3 linked regions of the Pelodiscus sinensis genome follow. The main gene of each other region encodes a partner of the protein of the gene in region 3 in a complex. Links are inferred from orthologs where the notes say so. Each region holds a gene or a part of one and is shown on either strand. Other genes may lie near its edges.

Region 1 (8,095 bases), about 13 Mb from region 3:
AGGCACCCTTCTCCCAGCGCCCTCCCCGCTGCGCAGACGCCCCACTCACTTCCACTGGATGCTGTTTTTGGATTTCTTCTCAATCAGCCCGATGCCCTCCAGGACATTTGTGATGTCGTAGATTCGCCGCTTCTGCCGCACGGCCAAGGTGTCTGCTGCCTGCCGAATGGAGATGGGTGGCTGACTCCGGAAATTCACAGCTACAGCCGGCCTCCCGCGGGCACCACATTTTCCCCGTCGGGGGTCAGAGCCCCATACTTCCGACAGCACCTCCTCTGTGCCCCTGCTTCTCAAGCTGCAGAGAGGACCCTGCTCCCCAGGACTTCAAAACTACCACTGATCTTCCCCACAATCCAACTTCTCATTGCACTAAAACCCCTGCTGTCCCAGAGCCAGCCCGGCCACCTCCCCAGCTCCTCTGGAGCCCGCCAGGACTGCGCCTCTCTGGGACAATGCCCCGGGAGGGTCCTCCGTATTTCAGCCCCTAGCTCCATTCTCTTTTGGAGCAGATTAGGAAGGCTGTGGTGAGGCAGCTCTTATGCTACCCAAAGTCCTCAGCTTTCCTCGGCTGACTTGGCTCTAGGGGAAGGGGCAGGGAACCTTTTTGGGTTGGGGGCCACTGACCCACAGACAAATCAGTCGGGGACCACACACAAAAAACCCTCATTGATGTGATGCCCGACGGAAGCAGAAAGATGCTTCCTACATTTCCCTTGCACACCAGAGCCTGGGGGCCCAGCCGTGATTTTCTGTGCTCCAGCCGTGTGGTGAGACAGCGGGGGGCTGGAGCACCAGTGCGGGTCCCCAATGCAAGCGGGGGGCCCTGAGCCTTAGGGGCTGGATCCAGGCAAGCTGCGGGCTGCATTCAGCCCCCAGGCCTGAGGTTCCCACAAGAAGTTTCCAGGGGTGGATCTGTTCTTTGGTTGGCAGGAACAGCCGTACCTTAACACTCAGCGCGCCCCTGGGTGCCTGCCAAGGGAAGTTACTCCAGTTCCCATCCCAAGTAACCCTAAGTGTGAATTCCATGGGCGCTGGGTCAGTGTGAATGCATCGTATGTCTGTACTGATATGCCCAGCGCCACACTGCACTGGATACTGCAAAAGACACAAGCCTGGTCACTTTCCTACACAGCTGTGCTCCACAAGCCACTGCTCTGTTTCAATGATGCTGACAAACACGAGTCCCAACTGCCCGCCGCTTTTGGAGCAAACGCCCACCGCTTTTCTGTCCCAGCCTGAACCTCTTAGTCACCTCCTGCACATGCCCGAAGCCAGAAAGAGCAGCAGTGGGAACACAGACAGCTGAGGCGACACACACATGGGTATCACTCCATGGAGGCATGCTGCACTGCTGGAAGACAAGAGCTAGGTTTCGGCTTTGGACATGGCAGGGAGATACCGTGAGAAAAGATCTCCAATGGCCAGGGACAAGGATAAGTGCCTATGCCAATTCGCCACTAGGGATGTGAATCGGTAGCTGGTTGCCCAGTAAGCAGGTACCAGTTAACTGACACCTGGGAGCTGCCCCCTGCATTTAACCAGTTAACCAATTAAATAGGACTGGACATCCCTAACCCAGGGGGTTGGGTCTTCACCTGGCATCCTAACCACCATGCTACAGACTAGGTGGAAGTGCCTCTCGCAGAGCTCAGAGCCCATTCCTGTTCTGAAAAATCTTCCCGGCAAAAGTTTCCTCAAAGCTGACTGGCTCTGTGAAAAGTTTCGGTTTTGCCAAATCAGCATTCTCCCCGCTCCCCCCCCCAAAAAAGCCCCACACCAAGCCACTTTAGAGCCACAAACTGCTGACCCGCTTGAGAAGAGTCCTGCTGCCTCCTAGCCATGCCTGGATGCACAAGTGCTTCCTTGAGCCTCCCGTTTTCAGTCCTCCAGCCCTGGGTTCCCATGCGGATCCGAGCCTGATGCCTCAGGCAGCAACTGCAGCACTGCGGATCCAAGGGAGATTCCTCCACACACATGGCATGATAAGCAGCGGCTCCCAGGGCAGAGGCTGCTCGGGAGGCCGGGAAAGCAGGATGCAGCCAAGCACCAGGGAAGGGCATTGAACAAGGTCCGAGATACCACAAATACACCCGAGATCAATGTTGCACTCCCACTTACCCCCGTCCTACCCATATCACAGCCTTACCTGTGGCCTCCTAACCCCCTCCAATCTGCCCCTCGCAGCCCCCGCCACCCACCTGCTTCTCCCTCCGCAAGCTTCAGTGTATTCAAAGAAACCTTTTTCGTATTGAATCTCCCAAATTGTCGAGTCTGACAAGGCTGCTCATCAGGGTGCAATGAGCCACACGTTAGTGATCTCGGAGGTGCTGGGGTGAGACAGCTTTGGGGACAGTCTATGCAGTGCGCTTTTGTGATGCATAAACATGCAGGTTGCCACGTGTGTGGGCAAACGCGTATTCACCTGGGGCACAGACCAGATGCAAGCTCCAGATTTGCAGAGCTTCAGCCAGAAACGATCTGATTTGCTCTCCTCCCCTAGCAGCCAGGTCTCCCCCACCTCCAGACTGGAGGAGGCAGAACCCTAAAGATCATTTGGAAACTTCAGCTAGTGGAGAACCGCACCCCCACTTGCTTAGCAGTGATTTCCCTGAGCTCCGCAGACTGTGCTGGCTTCCTGCTCGGCCCCCTGCAACACACGGTGCTGACAGTGACCTACGCATCCCTTTCAAGCTGGTGTCCTGCTTAATGCAGGGCTGCCACTTGCGAAGAGCGACTGCGCTGGGGTGGATCCAGGCTACGATCTCCCGGTGACGGGGCTGTGGACTCTGGATTGTTTCCCTGCAGCGGGGCGCGGAGCAGACGCGCAGGCCCTCGGGGGGCGCGGGACCAGGGTCTGGCTCTGTTCCGGGGTGGCGACGACTCCCCTCAGCGTGTCACCGCCCCCCGGGACAGGGACCCCCCCACTTACAGCCCCCCCCCGACAGGCTCCACCCGGCCCCAGGCCCTGCACAAAGCGGGCGCCAGAGGGGGGAGGCCCCGTACGCCCCCCCCGGAGAGACCCCCCCGGGCCGCACCAGCTTGAGGTCCAGGACCCCGTCCTTGGCCTCCTGCAGCAGCGACACGAACTTGGTGGTGAGCAGCCCCAGGCTCTTCTCGTGCCGGCTCGGGGCCCCCGGGGGCTGCGGCCCGGACTCCGCCATCTGCCTCCCCGCGCGCCGCTTCCGCTTCCGCCGCCGCCCGCGGGGCAGGCCGGGAAGCCGCGCCGGAAGCCAGGGGGCGGGGCCGCTGCCGCCCGCGCGGGGAGTCACGTGGCGCCGGGGGGCGGGGCCGAGGCGGGGCCCCGCCTCGCGCCCGGCCACTAGCTGGGGGGTGTGTGTGTGTGTGTGTGTGTGTGTGTGACGAGTGCTGCGCGCCGGTTGCCAACTTCCCGGACCGCACGGAGCGGACCCCACTCGCGGCAGCGCCGCCCCGGCCGGGAAGTTGGCACCTGCGCCCCGTGGCCCCCCGGCCCGTAGCCCCCACGGCGCCTGGGGACCCTGCCCCTCGGGGGCTCCGGCCACGGTGGCGCGGCAGGGGGGGCTCGGCGATCCGGAGTGCGGGGGGGCTCGGGGTGCGGGGGGGGGCTCGGCGAGCCGGGGTGCGGGGGGGCTCGGGGTGCGGGGGGGGGCTCGGCGAGCCGGGGTGCGGGGGGGCTCGGGGTGCGGGGGGGGGCTCGGCGAGCCGGAGTGGGGGGGGGCTCGGGGTGCGGGGCTCGGCGAGCCGGAGTGGGGGGGGGCTCGGCGAGCCGGGGTGCGGGGGGGCTCGGGGTGCGGGGGTGCGGGGGGGGGGCTCGGCGAGCCGGGGTGCGGGGGGGCTCGGGGTGCGGGGGGGGGCTCGGCGAGCCGGGGTGTTTGTTTATTCACAGCCAGGTTTGCTTCTACTGATGGTGCACATTCACATGTGCCTTGGTGCATGTAGAAAAAAATATTCTGCACATAGATGGAAAAGATTAGAGGGAACATTGCTTCTCAGACGAATTCCAGACCAGTTCCCCCAGAATTACCTGTAAGACCTTCTTAAAGGGCTTTCCTAAAACCAATCTCCGTAATTTAACTGACCCAAACATTAAAAAACAACAAATAGTCTAGCAGCACCTTAAAGACTAATAAAACATGTAGCTGGTACAACCCACTTCCTCAGATGAGTGGAGAGAATTCAGATTTGGTCTCATGTTCACTCCTGGTCCGGGAGCAGATCTGGCCCCGGGCCCCAGCATTGGAAATACAAGCTGAACTCCAGGGCGTGGTTCACTCTGATAAAAGCTTCCTTTAGGAAGCAAACGCCTTCACTGCTTTCTGGCTAGCTCCACTCTTAGTTTTCACTTTTTTTCCTCCCCGGGGCAAGTCTGGCGTGTCCACACGAAAAACACTGGTTCCTTTTATGTCAACCCGCTTGGATGAGTCTGGGCCCAGGGAGGTTAGCTGATTGATTCCCTTTGACCACAATTCTTGAAGAACACGAAACTTAAAAATACAGAACCTCCCAAATTAAGTTTTCATTCACAAACTAGGAATCATTTCCCCTTTCATGCATAATATTTTAAGTGTTGCACTCACATAAATACAAAGCCTCAGACAGGTCGCCGTGGTAGTCTGTAGTTTCAAAAACAACTACAAGACCGGTGGCACCTTACAGACGATGATATGTGTGGGCATAAGCTTTCATGGGTAAAAACCACTTTGTTCGATGCATGGAGTCCATGTCCTTTTAGAACCTCAGGGATCAACTTCTCAGCCCAATGCTTTCAAGTAGGAATAAGAGATCCTCCGGAAAAGGGCTTTATTCCGGAGGATCGTGCCAGTCTAGACGCTTTTTTCCAGCTTTTCCCCAAGCCGGAAAAAAGCGGCGGACATGTTTATTTAAATCCCGCGGGGGATATTTAAATCCCCCGCGGATTTCCCTATTCTGACTTACCTGCTTTGCATCACTTTTCCGGAATTTGGGGCCAGTGTAGACGTAGCCAAAGTGTTTTTGTCTCCACTTCTGGAAACTCTGGAAGAATTCCACCATGATTTCAACAGCTTCCACCCCACCATCAACTGCAGCCTGGACCAGTCTACACAAGAGAGCCACTTCCTGGGCAGCACGGTGTAAATAAGTGATGATCACATAAACACCTCCCTATACCAGAAACCTACTGATCGCTATACCTACCTTCATGCCTCCAGCTTCCATCCCGGACACACCACACGATCCATTGTCTACAGCCAAGCATTAAGTTACAACCGCATCTGCTCCAACCCCTCATACAGAGACCAACACCTACAAGATCTTCACCGAGCATTCTTGAAACTACGATATCCAAGTGAGGAAACAGACTAAAAGAGCCAGACATGTACCCAGAAGCCTCCTACTACAAGACAAGCCCAAGAAAGAAACCAAGAGAACACCACTGGCCATCACCTACAGACTTCAGCTAAAACCTCTCCAACGCATCATCAGTGATCGACAACCCATCCAGGACAATGATCGCCCACTTTCACAGGCCTTGGGAGGCAGGCCAGTCCTCGCCCACAGACAACCCGCCAACCTGAAGCAAATTCTCACCAGCAACTATACACTGCACCACAGTAACTCTAACTCAGGAACCAATCCCTGCAACAAACCTCAGTGCCAACTTTACCCTCATATCTACACCAGCGACACCATCACAGGACCTAACCAGATCAGACACACCATCACTGGTTCATTCACCTGCACAGCTACCAATGTAATATACGCCATCGTGTGCCAGCAATGCCCCTCTGCCATATACATTGGCCAAACTGGACAGTCCCTACATAAAAGAATAAATGGACACAAATCTGATATTAGGAATGGCAGTATACAAAAACCTGTAGGAGAACACTTCAATCTCCCTGGACACACAGTAGCAGAACTAAAGGTAGCCATCCTGCAGCAAAAAACTTCAAGACCAGACTTCAGAGAGAAACTGCTGAGCTACATAGTTCATCTGCAAATTTGACACCATTAGTTTAGGATTAAACAAAGACTGTGAATGGCTGGCCAACTACAAAAGCAGTTTCTCCTCTCTTGGTGTTCATACCTCCACATCAGCTGCTAGAAGAGGGAGTCATAGTGGAGAGCAGCCAAAGCAAAAGAGCTCCCAAGGTGATGCTGTGGCCGAAAGGACTAATTCGATTCTTGGCTTTCATATTACATAGGACATACGCACACAGACCACAGCTGGAATATGGTGTCCAGTTCTGGTACCCATGTTTCTAGAGCCTGACAAATTTGTGGATACCCACTTTATATCCGCGGGTGACCGCATCCACAGCTGCGGATACCCACAGCTCATTTTTGTGGATACAGATACAAATCGGCTGCGTCTAGATTGGCATGTTTTTCCGGAAATGCTTTTAACAGAAAAGTTTTCCGTTAAAAGCATTTTCGGAAAAGAGCGTCTAGATTGGCATGGACACTTTTCCGCAAAAGCACTTTTTGTAGAAAAGCATCGGTGCCAATCTAGATGCGCTTTTCCGCAAAAAAGCCCCGATCACCATTTTCTCAATTAGGGCTTTTTTGCAGAAAACAAATCTGAGCTGTCTACACTGGCCCTTTTGTGCAAAAGGGACTTTTGCCTGAACGGGAGCAGAATAGTATTTCCGAAAGAAGCACTGATTTCAGACAGTAGGAAGTCAGTGCTTTTGCGGAAATTCAAGCGGCCACTGTAGACAGCTGGCAAGTTTTTCCGGAAAAGCGGCTGATTTTCCAAAAAAACTGGCCAGTCTAGACACAGCCATTTTGTATCTGCGCAGGGCTCTGCATATTTGAAGAAGGGTTCAGGAAAAGCTGCAAGAATATTAGGTACCGGAGAGGAGGCTTATAGCGAGAGGCTTATGACACTCAGTCTATTTATCTTGTCAAAACAAAGATGAGGCACTGATGAGATCATGGTCTGTCACCACTTACACAGGGAGATCTCTGAGGACGGGCTCATTAATCTTCCTATGTATTTTAGAAACTTGCATCTGTCTGTGAGTCCATTTGTTCAAGAATCCTCCTAACGGGTACAAGCTGGCATAACGCTGACACGGGAATTGAGCCTAGGACCTCTGGAGCTTAGTGCACGAGTCTCTACCACACAAGCTAAAAGCCAGCTGGCTCTCAGGTAATGCTGTAGAGCAGCCTCATTAGTCTCTCTTGACTTGGTCCCAGTGCCATAAGTGGGATAGTGCACCGCACCCAGCAGGTGTGAGGGTTACACGAGGATCACCTGATTTGGTAGGCAGCTTCCTCTTTACCATCACTCAAAGCGAGGTCGGGTTGGGTTGTGCCAGGACAATGGGATGTTCCTGGAATGGGACTGTTTCATAGCAAATGGAAAGGGAGGGGTTATGCTCACACATGGCAGCAAGTGCCCCTATCAGCGGTCCCTGATCAGCAGTACGGACCCTGCTACCCTGGCCCAGGAGAAGCCAGCCTGTCTTGGACCCGGGTAAGTCTTCTAGATAAAGACACAATGAAATCCAGTAGCTGGAAGTGGAGCTAGACAAATTCATCCTGGGCCCATGACACACAACAGTGAGGGGCAGTAATAAGTAAAAGTACCTGCCAAGGCACATGGTGCATTCTCCATCACTGAAAACATTTCCATCAGAACTCATTGTCTTCCTGGGACAGCCACAAATTCTTGGGCTTAACACGGGAATTACAAGTTACTTTTTTTTGGCCTTGTGTGAAGCAGGCAGGACATGAAAAGTGTCCCCTCCCTCTCTCCCCCGGTGGGCCTATCTGCTCCTGAAATCTACAAAGCTAGGAGCTACGCCCAGGCTTATATTTTGTAAATGTATATTGCACGTCAAGGCCCGGCTGAGATGTTTCTGCACAGTTGGGCAATTATCTTAGCAGGCGCTCTTCGGTCCGGAGGAACGCTGGATGTGTTGGAGGGATGCTGTGGTTTCAGCGGGGTCACTCAAAATCCGATGTCTGCAATAGAAAGGTGTACGTCCGATATTTCGGCTTGGAACTGTGCCTTTCTTCTTTCCGTTTCTGGGATTGCTTCGTGTGGTACTAACCTTCGATTCTCATCCTTACTTCGGCGTAAATCTCCAGAATTGCCTTAAACGCAGGACTCAGCTAGCAGGGGGGA
Region 2 (7,874 bases), on a different chromosome or scaffold from region 3:
TTTTGTTGCAGGACGCCTCAGGTAGGGCAGCTGGGGTGCTGCCGGGTTGGTCCTGTGGGAACCTACCGGGCAGCGCCCCTGCTGTTCTGTCCCAGGCTCCAGATTCAGCAGCTGTTGAAACTGATCAGGCTGATTCCAGGAAGCTGGGGGCAGAGCAACTCTGCCTCCTGCTTCCTGTAGTCAGCCCCTGGTCAGTTTTAGTGACAGCAGCTGAATCTGGAGCCAGTTCCTACTTACATACAAATTCAACTTAAGAACAAACCTATAGTCCCTATCTTGTACGTAACCCAGGGACTGCCTGTATATACCAACACTTTCTTTTTGTTCTGCTGTAACCAGAATGTACCAAATGAGCTCATCGTCTATGCACACCTATTTTAATAATCTAGCAAGAAATGTGAATTCTTCACAGCTCAATATTCATTGACAGCAATATTGGCACTTCCAGAAAGACTAGTAAGTCTTCCTTAGCTCCTGACTCCAGAAAGACAAGGTAATATGAGGTCATAACTTTTAATGGACCAACTTGTATTGGTTAAAGAGAGATGCTCCAGATGGCATTCTGGGTGCAATATGTAGCTGGAATGTCTCATGTTACCTACATTAAGGTAGCTGATCCTCTCTAGTTTCCAAACAACGAGTAGTCACTAAGGTGCCACAGGCCTAACAAACATATACAATACATAAATAAAATAAATACACACACACACACACACACATTATACACACACATATTTGTTAACTTTTGTTACACACTAGAAATGTTAAATTTAGATTAATTGGCCCAGGGCTACACTTCAAAGGCGAAAGAGCTGCAAGGAGCACAGGGGACTAAAGCAGTCCCCTGCTGGCCTCAGGCCACCTGCAGCATTTCAAAGTGGCAGCATCACATGGAGGCCGGGGTCAGCTGGGGACTCAGAGTGTCCAGCTGTCCCCAGGGTCCATGCAGCACTGCTGCTCTTAAACGCTGTATGCAGAGCAGGACCAGGTGGGAACTCAAGCTGTACATGGTATTTCAAAGCGGCAGACCCCAGGCTCCATGCAGTGCTGCTACCTTGAAACACTGTATGCAGCCGGGCCAGCAGGGGACTCCCCAGCAGCATGCGGCGTTTTAACGGCACTGCCACTTCGAAGTACTCCTCCCCCACACTGCCTCTTTCTGAGAGGCAGCAAGGGAGGGGAAGTGACCAGTCAACTAGTCCAGTGTTTCTCAACCTTTTTTTTTTTTTTAAGTATCTTTAAAAAAAATAATTATAAGTATCCCCAATACCTATAGTTTTCAGACTTACACATTTTTTTCCCCATTGCGACACATTTGTTTAAACAGCTTAGTTGTAGCCGGGCAGGCGATGAAATTTTTGGCTGTAAAAAGCACAAAAATAATAAAGTGCTGTAAAACTTAAAACAAAAATTCAGTTTTCTCCAAATTTCAGTTGTGTTGACATACTCCCCAAACTTGTCTCAAGTACCCCTAAGGGTACTCATACCTCTAGTTGAGAAACACTGGACTAGTGTATCAACTATCCAATAAGCTTTTGCTTATCGGATAATAGACTAGTCATTCACATCCCTATTTACATACATATATAATTGTGAGCTTTCTTGGGCAAAACCCAGTTCTCCAAATGAGATTTTCTTGTTCCCCTTGAAACAACTGAACAATTACAAGGAAAACATATTACTTTCCTTCCTGTGGTTTTCCCACAAGAACTATGAATTTATAGTATATTTGTAATAAACCTGATCTCCTCTGGAAGAAAAATACAGAAGAAATTCTGATGTACCAACCACAAAACTACAATTTCTTCACTCCCATGAACAATATGCATACACAGCAGTCTCCAAATAATAGAGATGGTCAAAACCTAATAGCTTTCATAACTAATATTGACCATTTACCCTGCTCTTCCTTTATCAATCTCATAAACCCCTTTCTACAAAAATCCACAACTAGAAAGACAGAAGACAGTAGTAACTAAATTACTAAGTGTAGTTTCCTAAAAATCCAGATTTTTAGTATAAATGAGACACACAAGCTCCTGCAAAATAGAAGATAAATCTGCAACAGCTCAATGTTTGCAGCTGAATAAGCACTTTCACTCACAGATTTCCCAGCTACAGGAAAGAATCACATATACCTTCCCCCCCCCCCCCCCATCAATGGATGTACCAGGACTAAAAACACAGTCTTTAAAAAAATAAGAATTAGTGAAGTCAAAGTATTAAAACCACGTGGTTGGTCAGAGAGGTAAAGGACCAGAAAGTTAGAAGAAAGGGAAAACTGGCAAGAACTACTGTGTAGGAAGAAACTAGTAGCCCAGGGGAAAGAGAAGACGAGGTTACTCTTATGTCTGTAGTACGGAGCGACATGGAAAAGACATGGGTGCAGCAACTCCGGTGAGATGCAACACACAGGGAAGATGGAGAAGTCGGGGAACACCGGTGTTGCGACAGGTGGGTGACAGGACTTAGGGGGGATGATGGGGCCGGGATCTAGCTCTGGGCATGCAGCGTTGGGGAGGGACTGGACAATGACAGTGGAGCACGAGGAAGGGCGGCCGGACAGGAGGAGAGCCTGAGCCTCTGGCGTGGAGAGAAAGACGAAGCGGGATGTGGGGGTGTAGCACAGCTGAGAGCGAAGCCGGGGGAGGGTCCCAAAGAGGGAAAGGGGACAGAGACCCTGCAGGCGAAGGGAACAGCGCTGCGATCGGAGCAGGGATCCGGGACGAAGGCGCGGAGATACCCGAGCCAGGACAGGCGGGCCGGCCGGCCGGGGGCGTTACTCACCTGCGCGGTCTCTTCGCCATCCTCGAGGCGCAGCATAGAAGGAGGCGGAGACGGACTGGGGACGGCGCTGCGCGGCTCCCTGCCCGGGCTCCTCACACTGCCCCGGGGAGTCTGTGGCGGCCGTGGGGCCCGCCCCGTCACACAGCAGAAAAGGGGGCGGCTGCCTCTACCGCTCCCGGACACTCCAGCGCGTCCACCTCACTTAGCCCCGGCCTGGCCCGGCGCCCCGCACACAGATCATGGCCCGGCCCGGCTGCGGAGACAGGATCGGGGGCTGCGGACGCTTCTTGCCCAGTTCCGAGGCCCCTGTTCCCAGCTGCGTCCCCCGTTGGCCCGGCCTCCTCTGCCGCTGCGCTGCCGTCACAGGTTTTGTCCGTGCCGCCGAATCTCGCGCCCAGCCTCCTTCCAGAGCCACCGTTTGAATCTGCGCACGCGGACTGCAACCCCATTGGCTGAGGCAGCCGCACGCGATCGAGGCGGGGCACCGCGCCAGAGGGAGAAAGGGTGCGACCAGTAGGGATGAAGGGGGCGGGGCATAGAGCCAGACGGGGGCGGACCCGGAGCAGTAGGGATGAAGGGGGCAGGACATAGCGCGCTGCATCCTGGGAGAGCGAGTTTTTCTTCCCGCCAAGCCTGACGGTGTTCAACAGTGGCAGCTTGTAAGAAGCCCCACGGGCTCTGCTACGTGCTGCTGCCGCTCTTGCTTCCCAGCCCAAGGCCTTATTCTCCCCCTTCAATGTGCCTGTGCGAGGCGTCCTGAGTGAGCAGATCACTTGGAATCCGGACTCACCTATTACTGACTAAGGACAAAATGCAGGCGAACAGCCCACAGTCTGCAGGGGGAGGGAAACACATCTCGCCTAGTGCAAATGTTACCGATACAGAGATTTCTCACATTCGGCATAGAGTATAATTACAAAATCATGTCTCCTTCGAGCCGGAATCGAACCAGCGACCTAAGGATTCCCGCAGCTCCTCTACAGTCCTCCGCTCTACCAGCTGAGCTATCGAAGGGACTTCCTGGATGTTCTTGTTTCCTTTCTACATAGTCTCCTTTTCATGACTCATCCAATGTACTTTGACTTAATTTGTAATTAAAGAGCTGTCAGTATGGAATAGCAAAAAATATAGTGAGAGCAGCTTTTGTACCAAAACAAATGGAGAGAGAAATGGAGCTTTGGAGAGGCCAAATGTTCACTATTAATGCAATACAGTCCTAGGCAGACTTAAAAAAAAAAAATTTCTATAAAAACAAGTATTTGCCTTCCTCCCATGTATCTCTCTATAAAAAAGATTTTCCTGAGGGATGACAGAGTCATGTCATCATGTCACTCTGCATCCTGCAGCCCTTTCCTTCCTCTTTCCCTTTATCTCCCTAGTGTTCTGTGGCCAGGGGGAAGAGCCCTGGGCACATGTGGCCTTTCCCCCTCACACAGGGGACTGGAGCCAGAGCCACACAGCCTTCCCCCCTCGTGGGGGGAAAGCGAAGCAGCCTTCCCCCTTGTAGCAGGAGGGGGCCAGAGCCACGTGGACTTCCCCTGTCACCGTGGAGACCCAGAGCTGCCACCTGTGTATCTTTCCCCCCTGGTGGGATGGGACTGGGAGCCACATGCCCTCTCCCCTCACGGGAGGATGCCAGTTAGCCAGCTATGGCCTCAACCTAGCCCAGTCCCTCAGCAACTGGAGGGAGAAAGCCACGCCAACCACTGCCAGTGGCAGCCAGAGAGAGAGAGCCAGGCCAGCCTTGGCCCGGCCTAACCCTCGGGCGGCTGGAGTGAGAGAACTGGGCCAGCCTCAGCCCAGCCCCCCGACAGCCAGAGGAAGAGACTCAGACCAGTTGCAGCCTCAGCCTGATCCGGGTTCCCTGTGGCCGAAGGGAGAAAGCCAGGCTAGGTGCAGCTTAGGCCTGGCCCAGCCCCATGGCAGCCAGGGGTGGGGGAAAGCTAGAGCTGCCAACCCTCAGAGAGGGGAGTTGGCAAGCATAGCAAGCAGGGGGCACTGCCCCTTAGTATTTGCCTAACATTACAATACAGTCTGATATGATGTATAATCTGAGACTTGGTCTACATCACAAATGTATATTGGTATAACTATGCCCACCTAGATGAGTGACACATTAGTACTAACTTGGCCCCTGCTATAGGCAAAAATAGTTTATGGGAGGGCTTCTCCCATTAACATGGCTCTTTGGGAATTAGAGTACCTACAACAAGGGGCAATGCTCTGTTATCAGTGTAGATAGCTTCACTAACCACTACAGCAGCACAGATGCAATTGCAGCACAGTGAGTATAGACAAGCCTAAGGAATAACTTTCTCCCTTACTCCCCAGAAAAATGATTAGGAGTAAGGAAAAGAGGAAGATAAGCTTCCTCAATTATAAGGTTTTTTGTTTTGGGGAAGGGAGGTTAATTATGAAAGTCAAACTGATATTATCTTTTGCCTTTTATTCAAATCAAACACCAATAATAGGTGTTCAACCTAGTCTAAAAATAAGCAACTTTTCTACCACATTTCCTCCCCCCTTACAACCTAAGCAAAATCTACTATATATTTAAGAGAGCTTGTGTGGGAGTGCCTGTCCATGCATTCATGTTTGTTCAAGAACTCCTCCTGAACGGTAAAAGCTAGGACTACCAAATTTGATATGCAACCTTCTCTTATTCTAATTTAAAGAAAGGTCAGTGTTTGGTTATGCTAGGAATAATGGGAAGTGCCTGGAATCCGATTGTTTCTCATCAAATGGAAAGAGAGGGCTCTGATAACAGGGTCAGTTATACGTCACAATGACCACAGGGAGCAAAAAGTGCCCCAGTCCTGGGGAGCAGATGCCAGCAGAGCAGCACAGCAGCCTTGGGCTGGCCCCAGGGAGCAGCCATCAGCCAGCCAGTGCAACTCTCACCACTACAGGCCAGTGCCAGCATGGTCTTTGCCACTCCAGACCAGCCCCAGGGAGCAGCCACTGACTGCCGGTATCCACTACCCTGAGTCACCCACTCCCTGCCCTGACTCCTGCACCCTCCACCCTCAGCTTTCAACCCCCATACCTTCCAATCCCCTGCCCTGACTCCTACATCCCCACACCATGCCCTGCGCCCCCAATACCTCCTAAAACCCCTGCCTTGACTCCTGTATCTGCCACTTTTCTGTCCTGACCCCATCGCTCCTTGCCCTGAACCTCTCCCCCCCCCACACACACACCTCCCAATCCCTTGTCCTGACTCCTGCACTCCCCATTCCCTGCCCTGAGCCACTCCTCACCCCCAGTCCTGACTCCTACACCACCCACACACCTCCAGCACCCTGCCCTGAAGTACCTGAACAATGCCGGGTAAAAAGCTAGTAGTCTATAAAAACCTGAAGAGGAAATGACTAGACATTAAAAACAAACCAGAGGGTATGTCTAGACTACAGGGTTTTGTCGACAGAAGTTTTGTCGACAGTATCTGTGGACAAAACTTCTGTCGACAAAGAGCGTCTAGACACATTCAGTTCTGTCGACAAAGCAAGCTGCTTTGTCGACAAAACCCTGTAGTCTAGACACAACCCTACATGCAATAACACCTTCTGTCAACAGAACTCTGTCGACAGAAGGTGTTATGCCTCATAAAATGAGGTTTACCAGTGTCGACAAAACTGCTGAGTTCTGTCGACGTTATGTCGACAGAACTCAGCAGTAGTGTAGACGCAGGTATAGTTTTGTCGACAAAAGTCCACTTTTGTCGACAAAACTCTGTAGTCTAGACACACCCTAATTTATCATTATTGTCTACACTGAGAAAAGTGAAAGTACAGTAAAATCTCAGAGTTACGAACAATCTCCATTTGTGAGGTGTTAGTAACTCTGAAATATTTAAAAGCTTCAGAGAGGTAGCCAAGTTAGTCTGTACAGGATAAACTTAAAAAACAACAAATAGGTTTTTTTAGCACTTTATAGACTAACAAAACATGTAGATGGTATCATGAGTTTTCGTGAGCTCAGCCCACTTCTTCAGATGACCAGAGTGGTTTAGTGTACTATATTTGCTTTGTTTATTTTTTGTCCATGCTGCTGCCTGATTGTTTACTTCCAGTTCTAAATTAGGTGTGTGTTGGCTGGTCAGTTTGTAACTCTGGTGTTCATAACTATGAGGTTCTACTGTAGTAGAAAGTATATAAAGGATCAAATTCTAAAGATTGTTTCACTTAATAAACAGATTCACTTCTATCACATAGATAAGGATTTTACAAATATTTTAGATGATGATGTCTCTAAACACTTTATCCTGTAGAACCGTGGTTCTAACTGTGGCCCACTGACCACTAGTGGTCCGTGGCCACCTTGCAGGTGATCTGCATCTCAAGCTCAGCCCCTCCTTCCTCCCTCCCTCTCTTTCCCCACAGCAGGGAGCCCGCGCTGGCTTCCTGCCAGAGAGGGAGGAAGAAAGCCCCAAACCACTCAGAAGGAAGGGTCCACCTCACAGGGAAGAAGCGGTGCCAGAAGCAGCTCTGTGTGCTGCTGTTCCCCCTCCCCCACCTGAGAACAGCAATTCACAGACACGCTGCCTTGATGCTTTCCCCACTACTCCCATTGTCCGGAATCCAGCCAGTGGGAGCAGCGAAAGGCCATGCCTGAGACACTGTGCCTGGGACAGACATGGGACATGAAAGCAAGTAAGTGCCTCCGCTTTTCCCTCATGGCCAGACCCTGCACTCCCACCCCCTCTCACACACCTCCACCAAGATGTCACATCCCCAGCCCACTCCTGCATCCTCCCCTTTTGGCCAGACACCCTCTGCTCTTGCACCTTCCCCCTTGGCTGGACACCCTACACCCAGCCCTTCACTTTTTGTTACAGTGGAAACAGCAGTAAGCATGCTACACACTCCCCTGACTCCACCAGCTAGCTGGCTGGCAAAAATGTGCAGGAAAAAATAGACTAGGAATGACATGTTCAAGGAGGAAATGTAATCTGCCAATGTGGACAGGGAGCACTTAATTGAGTGGAGGAATATGCTGCTGCTGGAGATGAAAGCGGAGAAGGGTGACAGGAGAGCATACAGGGAGCTAGAAGTGAAAAACTAGGACAGAGTCTTGAAGACCATGAC
Region 3 (7,403 bases):
TATATGCCACATTTGCAAGTCCTTCAAGCCTTGCACCAGGCAGACATATTCATCTGAAGTCTTCTGTAATGGAGTCCACCTTAGCTCCGATGCATGAGCATTCAGATTCGGCACCAAGCACTGCTGGCCTGATGGCACCGCTAACTGGCACCGCTCACTAGGTAAGGCAAGGGCAAGTCTCCTGGACCTAAGAAAAACAGGCCCAGAACATTGATGCCAGTGGCCTCTCCCTGGTTTGTTCAGCAGACAACTCAGGCCTCTTCGGAGCATGGGTCCCCTTCTCGCTCCCTGGCCCGATCTCAAATGGTATGCCTACACTTATGTCGACACCCAAAAGTCATCAAAACAAAAATCACCAGAGGGTGTTCACACTTGCTCCCTTGGTCAACAGATCATGTCCACTTTGGGGACACCATCATCACCTATGTAGTGGGAAGGCAGAGCTGATCTGTGAACATCTTGGGTTTCCCTCTGAGTTCTCCCACAGCCTCAGCTGCTGGGAGCAGCATGATGAGTAGCTTTGTGAGCCCTCCATGCTGAGAAATGTCAAAGCAGAACAGCGTCTATACCCTTGCCCTCACACCAGCAGGCTGCCTGCTACTGTGTTCCCAATGCAGGACAAAACAACATTCCAATGATTTGTTCTTTGTTCCCCAAACAGAGCAGCTTACTCAGCTGTCAGATATCTCTCAGCTTTGAAAGGGGATAAGCAGCGGTACCTGTGGAGGCACCAGTAAATATAGCAGCGGTACCCCGCCAGGGGCTTATCCTGGTGAACCACTGTTGTCTTATTGCCTACCCTGGACTAACCTAACCTGGATCAAGATATGACTAATAAGTACCCTGTATCCTTTAAGAAATACTACTTAGTCTCCAAGGTAGATGGCAACTTAGTAGCCATTACTTCAAAAATCTGCCCCTATATTTATTCTCTCCCTACCCAAATGACCAGAGTGGATTCAGTCATCTGCCAGTGTAAAGGTTTTGAGATCATTGCCTTGGTGCTCAAGATTGCCAGCCATTTGGTTTATATAGTAAGGTTGCTGCAGTGTCAACTAGATCACTCACCTGGCAGTAGGTAACATAAAATTGGGTCACAAGGCAGCATGACAGTAACATGTATGAAGGATTTTTGTTCTGCCTTACTACTTTGCCACACAAATCAAGCTTGTGCACAAGGAGAATACGAAGGGTGCAACCCCCCCCCCCCCAGCCACCACCACCACCACCATGGTTCCCCAAGTAAACATGCTCCAGTTAACTGGGGAAAGGCAGGAGAGGTGCCCTGTCCCAGCCTCCCTCCCACATCCTCTAGTCGGCCAGGGGAAGGCTGAGGCTGATTTCCAGCTTACTTGGGAGACCAGGGTGGGGGAGATGCGGTCACATCTTTGCAGTCTAAATTTATGAAAAAGCACACCCACCCAGAAATTCCTGCATATGGGCCTGCAAATTCTGATAGAATTGTCTGTAAAATTATGGGCGCACTGCTTGGTCTACAGTAATGGACATACTTGATTTTGGTTTTAGAATGCCACTTTGTCAGGAACAATTCACTTTGAGACTACTGCATTCAAAGAAGTTCAGCTGTTTCAGGAAGTGAACAATGTGATGTATGTAAAAACCCATATGTTGTCTCCCAAAGTTCCCTGCAACCCTGGTCGTCTTGTAAGAAATATCATGTTTCTCTTTCTCAGAGCACTTTCCAGGGTGAAAAGTCTAGTATTATGTGGACTGCTATAGCATCTGGGAGCTGTAAACATGGACCAGAACTCCATTGGCATAATTAGTGTCTACATTAGGGGTTACACCAGTTCAGTAGTATTGGTGACTGAAAATTTTGTGTAGACAAGGCCTGAGATGGCTCTGAGCAGTGAGTTAGAGGGATACAATGAGTTAATGTTTAAGTTGTGTATTGATCTTATTTTGCACAACTGAGCTTTGTGCATATTAGCAGATTAACTTTTAAGGGAGACTTTTCAGTGGAAATTATCACTATTTTAAATCAATTAATATATTTATCACCAAACATTGTGATAAAAATATTTCATAATTGTTTTTTATTGAGCAGAAATCTATAAAACAATTGCCCTGGCACAAAGCTAGCTATGAAGACTGTGCCATGTTTAAAATAATAATTTTATCTGTTTTAAGTGATTTTATCTTTCTAATTCAGGAGGTTGTATTTATTATTTTTGTAAATAGTTACAGGGTAATTTCCAGTGGGTCCTTCTTAGTCCTCCTGAACATTTAGGCCATAACCGTGCAAAGAATGAGTGTACTTCACTTTCTGCATTGTATGAGTAATCCCAATCACTACAGGTTCACAGACCCTGATCTTCAACTTGTGTAAACTGCTACAGCTCAACTGAAATCCACTGAATGATTGCAATTAACACCAGCTGAGGATCTGCAGGATCAGGACCGTAAATTGAAAAGGTTTGGACAATTTTGAGCGGTTATAGCAGAAAAGTGTTTAAAACAAAAACTCAAATCAACTTGTTCGAATATGAGGAGACCAAACAGACACAGTTAAAATTTTTTACAACAAAGGCTTAAAATGTTGGCTTCACTTTCCCTGATTTTCAGTCTTAAATTGTATTGATACATAAGTTTGAAAGGATTGTTTAATTTCCCCCATCTATTCTTGGTGAAAAGAGCTACAGTAATGGATTTACTTTGTGGCCACTTCCTTTCATTCTGACACATTAGGTTTTATGCCTACAATGTATCTCCTATTAGGGCTGCTCTCCACTTTTCATTACAGCAGGAACAGCTGTGAGCCTGCTGCTAACTCCGCTGGCCCCACAGAGCTATCAAGCTGTTACAAATCTGCAGGCGAAAACAGACTAGGAATGGCTTGTTCAAGGAACAAGTGCAGTCCGCCAAATTGAAGAGGGAGTGCTTAAGCAAAAGGAGGAATACGCTGCTGAAGGAGATGTACATGGAACATGAGGACAGGAGAACATGCAGGTAACTGGAAGTGAGGAACCAGGATCATCTTGATGTGTGTGGTGGTTGTGATGGACCCCATGGCAGCTTTCCAGAATGCCTACATGAACAGGCACCCTCTCCAGCCCTTGCAGAACAACATTCCCTCCTCAGAGATTTTCATAGCTTCCTCTCCTATGGCCCTAGAACAGAGTGTGGGAGTCACTCACACTCGACCCTGAGGGATATGTCTTGAAACAAAAGGCTGTCCTTGCAATTGTGATCATACACATTCAGAAGCGGTCCGAAGCTCACTGTGGCAGCTGGTGCCCTAGGCGGAAGGTGCGATCGGCACCTGTGCCTGCATGGCTGTCAATGGCTGTGATGTAATCATGACATCATCAGGCGCCTGGACCCATGGTGCCCTAGGCAATTGCCTAGGTCCATGGGTTGCCCCTGTACGCATTCACATCCTTCAGTTCCTGCTCTGGCCTTCTTTTCTGTCCCTGCTATGTTCCCTAAATAAAAAGGCATTAATTTCTTAATGGGTAGTCTGCTTATGGCTTGTGTTGGAAAGAGGAGAGGGAGTATTACAGGCAGACACACTAATGGCAGGGACACCTTTCATAAAACTGTCGAAGTCTGATGTGCACTTCTCCTCACTGTGCTCTCATTGCTCGGGTTAGATGCTGAGTATTGCCCTTTCCCCTTCCCCGACAGATCACATCTCCCCTTACATTCACAAATACCGTGGAGCCCAGCGTTGGCTACCACCACAATGGGAATGTTTCATTTGTTGCCTTCTAACCTAGGCAGTAGACTGGAACCTTCCAGGGGCATTGGCTCCTGTGCCCTACACAAAGCTGGGGGGTTGTGTGTAATCATGAGGGGTAACCAATGAGCAGCAGCGGTGCAAGTAACATTTCCTCCAGGTCCTGTCCCATCGCTTCTTCACCGGTGCGGAGAGCCACTGAATCGGAATGTAACTCTGCATGTGCGGAAACCAAGTGGGGCGGCTGCACCCCTGCCTGCACGCGGCTGCACCCCGGCCAGACAAGCTGGCTGGGAACTGCCGCTGCCCCGGCCTAGCTCTGTGACGTGTCACGGTGCAGAATCGCAGCCCCCCCCGGACCGAATGCGAAAGGCAGCGCGGCCGCCACGTGGCCATTGTTTCACGCGCCTCCCCGCAGCGCTATTTCAGGGCGGGGCTCCATGCTGGGACCAGGCAGCGAGGAGCTGCGGAACCAGCCTGCCGCCTAGAGGCGGCCGGCCTCCTTCACAGCGCTGCGCGCGCCGCTACCACCTGGCCTACGCGTCAGGCCCCGGCGAGCCAGAGCCACCGCAATGCCTCCTGGGGGTGGTAGTTTTTGCTGGCTAACTGTGGGCCGGGGCGGCGGGCACGTCTTGCCGCGATAGGTCGCTGAGACGCCGTCGCCGGCGGCTGCGTAGAGCGAAGCGTTCTGCGCCTGCCGGAAAAGCGCCCGCTGATTGGCGGCGGCTCCTTGGGGGACCAATGGCAGTCCAGGGTTGGGGCGGAACTCGGTCCCGGGGTGGTTGGTCTGGGGCGGCGCAGGCGCAGTGCGCGGCAGGCTGGCGTTGCCCTCTAGCGACGGGGTAGGGGATGCCGGGCGAAGAGGACGAGGAGGCCGAAGCGGGGGTCGGGGGCGCCGCCTCCTCCCCCCCGGCGGAGGAGTGGGGCGTCCGGCAGCGTTACGAGGATCTCTGCAACAGCCTCAACATGGACGAGCGCGCCCGGGCCGAGGCCTGGCTCAGCTACCAGAGCATGAGGCGCAACTACACCCTGGAGGTGAGGGGCGGCCACGGTGACGGGCGGGGCGGCCGAGGGGGAGGGGCGGACGCCAAGCCCTAGTTGCGAGGGGGGGGGACTCGCCTCCTTTGTGGTTGCCGCCGGGACCCGCCTCCCAGCGGGGGGAAAGGCTCCGTAGCCCTGTGCCGGGGTCCTGCGGCTCTGCCCCGGGTGATCATGATGGGAACGGGGATCAGCTCCAGGAGGGAGCAGAGTGAGTCTGCAACAGGAAAAACGTAAACAACAGCGAGCAGTCCGGTAGCACTTGGAAGACTAAGGAAAGGTGCCGCTGGTATTCTGAGCGTTCCTGGTCCCAGCCCACTTCAGGTGACTGGAGAGTTGGAAGTCCAGCTCCAAGACTAAATAAGGGATGGAGGGAGGGATCCCCCAGTGGCTGTTTTGTTTCAGACCAATTCCACAAGCCTAATGCACAGAGACGGATTGGAGCTTAACTTCGAAAGTATCTTTCGAAAAAGCCTCTTTCAAAAGAGGCTTGCAGTCTAGACGTAGCCTAAGATGCTACTACAGGCAGTCCCCGAGTTACGCGGATCCGACTTATGTCGGATCCGCAGTTACGAACGGGGTTTGCTCCCCGTCTCCCTGGTCTGCTGGTGTCCAGCAGACCAGGGAGACGCGGAGGACCCAGGCAGCTTCTCGGTCCGCCGCCCGCGTTTCCCTGGTCTTCTGTGGGGGGAGGGAGGGGCGCAGCTAGTACGCCCCCCCCCCCCCCAGCAGACCCGGCTTTTCTCCGGACGCCTGTGGTAGAGCAGCTGGGGCGCTGCCGGTTGGTCCCGCAGCACCACTCTGGGCGCTACTGGACCAACCCGGCAGCACCCCAGCTGCTCTGCCCCAGGCGGTCCCCAAGTCAGCCGCTGCTGAAACTGACCAGCGCTGACTACAGGAAGCCCGAGGCAGAGTTGCTCTGCCCCGGGCTTCCTGGAATCAGCCTCTGATCAGTTTCAGCAGCAGCTGACTTGGGGATGCCTGGGGTTCTTAAGTTGAATCTGTAAGTAGGAACTGGCGTCCAGATTCAGCCTGTTGAGACTGATCAAAGGCTGATTCCAGGAAGCCCGGGGCAGAGCAACTCTGCCTCGGGCTTCCTGTAGTCAGCCGCTGGTCAGTTTCAGCAGTGGCTGAATCTGGATGCCAGTTCCGACTTACATACAGATTCAATTTAAGAACAAACCTACAGTCCCTATCTTGTTCGTAACCCGGGGACTGCCTGTATACTGTTTGTTGTTTTTTAAGTTTTTCCTATTACAGACTTAACCTTCAGAGGGATAGCTGACTATCTGCTCGCTGTCTTTTTTTCTTCCTCCCCTTCAACTTTTTTTCCTTCTCCTTCCTTCCCTTATTTATTCTTGGACCTGGACTTCCAGCACTCTGGTCATCTGAAGAAGTGGGTTGTGTCCATGAAAGCTCATAATACCATCTACATGCTTTGTTAGTCTACTAGTAGCACTTTAAAGACTATTTGTTGGTTTTTAATAATGGTGATGTTAGTGGTTGCACCATAAAGGGAAGGGGGGGGGCGTGTGGAGTCTCTCCCCTTACGATGTGTGAACTCAAGGACCTAGCCTTTTCCTAATGAAGGCAAAATCACCCTGTTAGTCTCATTTAGCATGGACGCTCTAATTGATAGCTTCAGGGGGTAGCTGAGTTAGTCTGTACTCAACCGTGGTCACCAACTGGTCAATCGATTGCGAGGGCTTGACCAGTCGATCGTGAGGTGTTCGGGCCACCCTCCTCCCCCAAGAAGCCCCACTACCTACCTCCAGCAAAAATGGAGGTAGTGCCTGCTTTCTGTGGGGTGGACAGAAGTCCTGCAGCTGTGGGGGCTTCCCTCCTCTTCAGGAAGGGGAGTTGGCCCCGGAGAAGGCACGAGCGGGGATTTCTCTCCTCTGCAGGAGGAGGGTCCTGGGAAGAGGCTGGTGCCAGGGACTCCCTGCCCCCACTTGCACCCTGTCCCGTGCTGCAGAACCCTGTCCCCTCTCTCCTGTTCCCCACTGGCACCTTGCCTCCACCCTGGCACGCTGTCCCCCTGCTCCCACTGGTACCCTGTGCCCTGCTGCAGAACCCTGCCCCCACCCCAGCAACCACTAGTACCCTTCCCCAGTACCATGTCCCCTGCTCTCACCAGCACAGTTGGGGCCACATTAGTGAGGCTTCGGGGGTTTTTGGCAGGAGGTGTGGTGTGGTGTGTGGGTGTGGTTTTTTTTCATCTCGTGTGGCCCCAACTAACTTTTCTGTGGGTCAGTGACCCCCGACGCAAAACAGGTTCCCTGCCCTTCTCATAAATAAAGACAATGCAGAAACTTTTTGTGTTTGACGTAGTATTTTTTTAAAAAATTAAGCCTGGCCAACAAACCCCCAGTTGGGACCAAGCCCCCATCTGGCTGCAGCATTATAACACTCCTGCACCCCCCCCCCAGGCCCTAGTTCTGAGCCTATCATACACTGAAACCCCCTGCCCTGAACCTCTCACATACCCCAACCCGAATTCCTGCACCCTCACAGCCACAAGCCTGTGGCTTGCTTAGTACCACAACCCTCCATCTGACCCCAACACTCCCCAGCCTGAAGCCTCCTCCCCAAACCAGCATCCCCTTCTCCACCTCCTCCTGCATCCAAATTTCCTCCCAGAGCTTGCACCTTTCACCCCTTCCCA

Evidence for each region. Proteins that work in one complex are often made in the same cells at the same time.
Region 1: RBL2 (region 3) and E2F4 share a complex: the UniProt entries of both Homo sapiens proteins name them as parts of the DREAM complex. The link is inferred for Pelodiscus sinensis from reciprocal best matches to the Homo sapiens genes RBL2 and E2F4.
Region 2: RBL2 (region 3) and MYBL1 share a complex: the UniProt entries of both Homo sapiens proteins name them as parts of the DREAM complex. The link is inferred for Pelodiscus sinensis from reciprocal best matches to the Homo sapiens genes RBL2 and MYBL1.

The regions. Positions count from the first base shown.
Region 1 is NC_134722.1:47,082,611-47,090,705, reverse strand, and holds the start of E2F4 (transcription factor E2F4), read right to left. Parts: upstream 3,217-8,095; 5' UTR 3,162-3,216; coding exon 3,036-3,161; intron 160-3,035; coding exon 50-159; intron 1-49. UniProt on the Homo sapiens protein: Transcription activator that binds DNA cooperatively with DP proteins through the E2 recognition site, 5'-TTTC[CG]CGC-3' found in the promoter region of a number of genes whose products are involved in cell cycle regulation or in DNA replication.
Region 2 is NC_134712.1:58,192,168-58,200,041, reverse strand, and holds the start of MYBL1 (myb-related protein A), read right to left. Parts: upstream 3,217-7,874; 5' UTR 2,808-3,216; coding exon 2,788-2,807; intron 1-2,787. UniProt on the Homo sapiens protein: Transcription factor that specifically recognizes the sequence 5'-YAAC[GT]G-3'.
Region 3 is NC_134722.1:33,781,598-33,789,000, forward strand, and holds the start of RBL2 (retinoblastoma-like protein 2), read left to right. Parts: upstream 1-4,383; 5' UTR 4,384-4,549; coding exon 4,550-4,735; intron 4,736-7,403. UniProt on the Homo sapiens protein: Key regulator of entry into cell division. Directly involved in heterochromatin formation by maintaining overall chromatin structure and, in particular, that of constitutive heterochromatin by stabilizing histone methylation.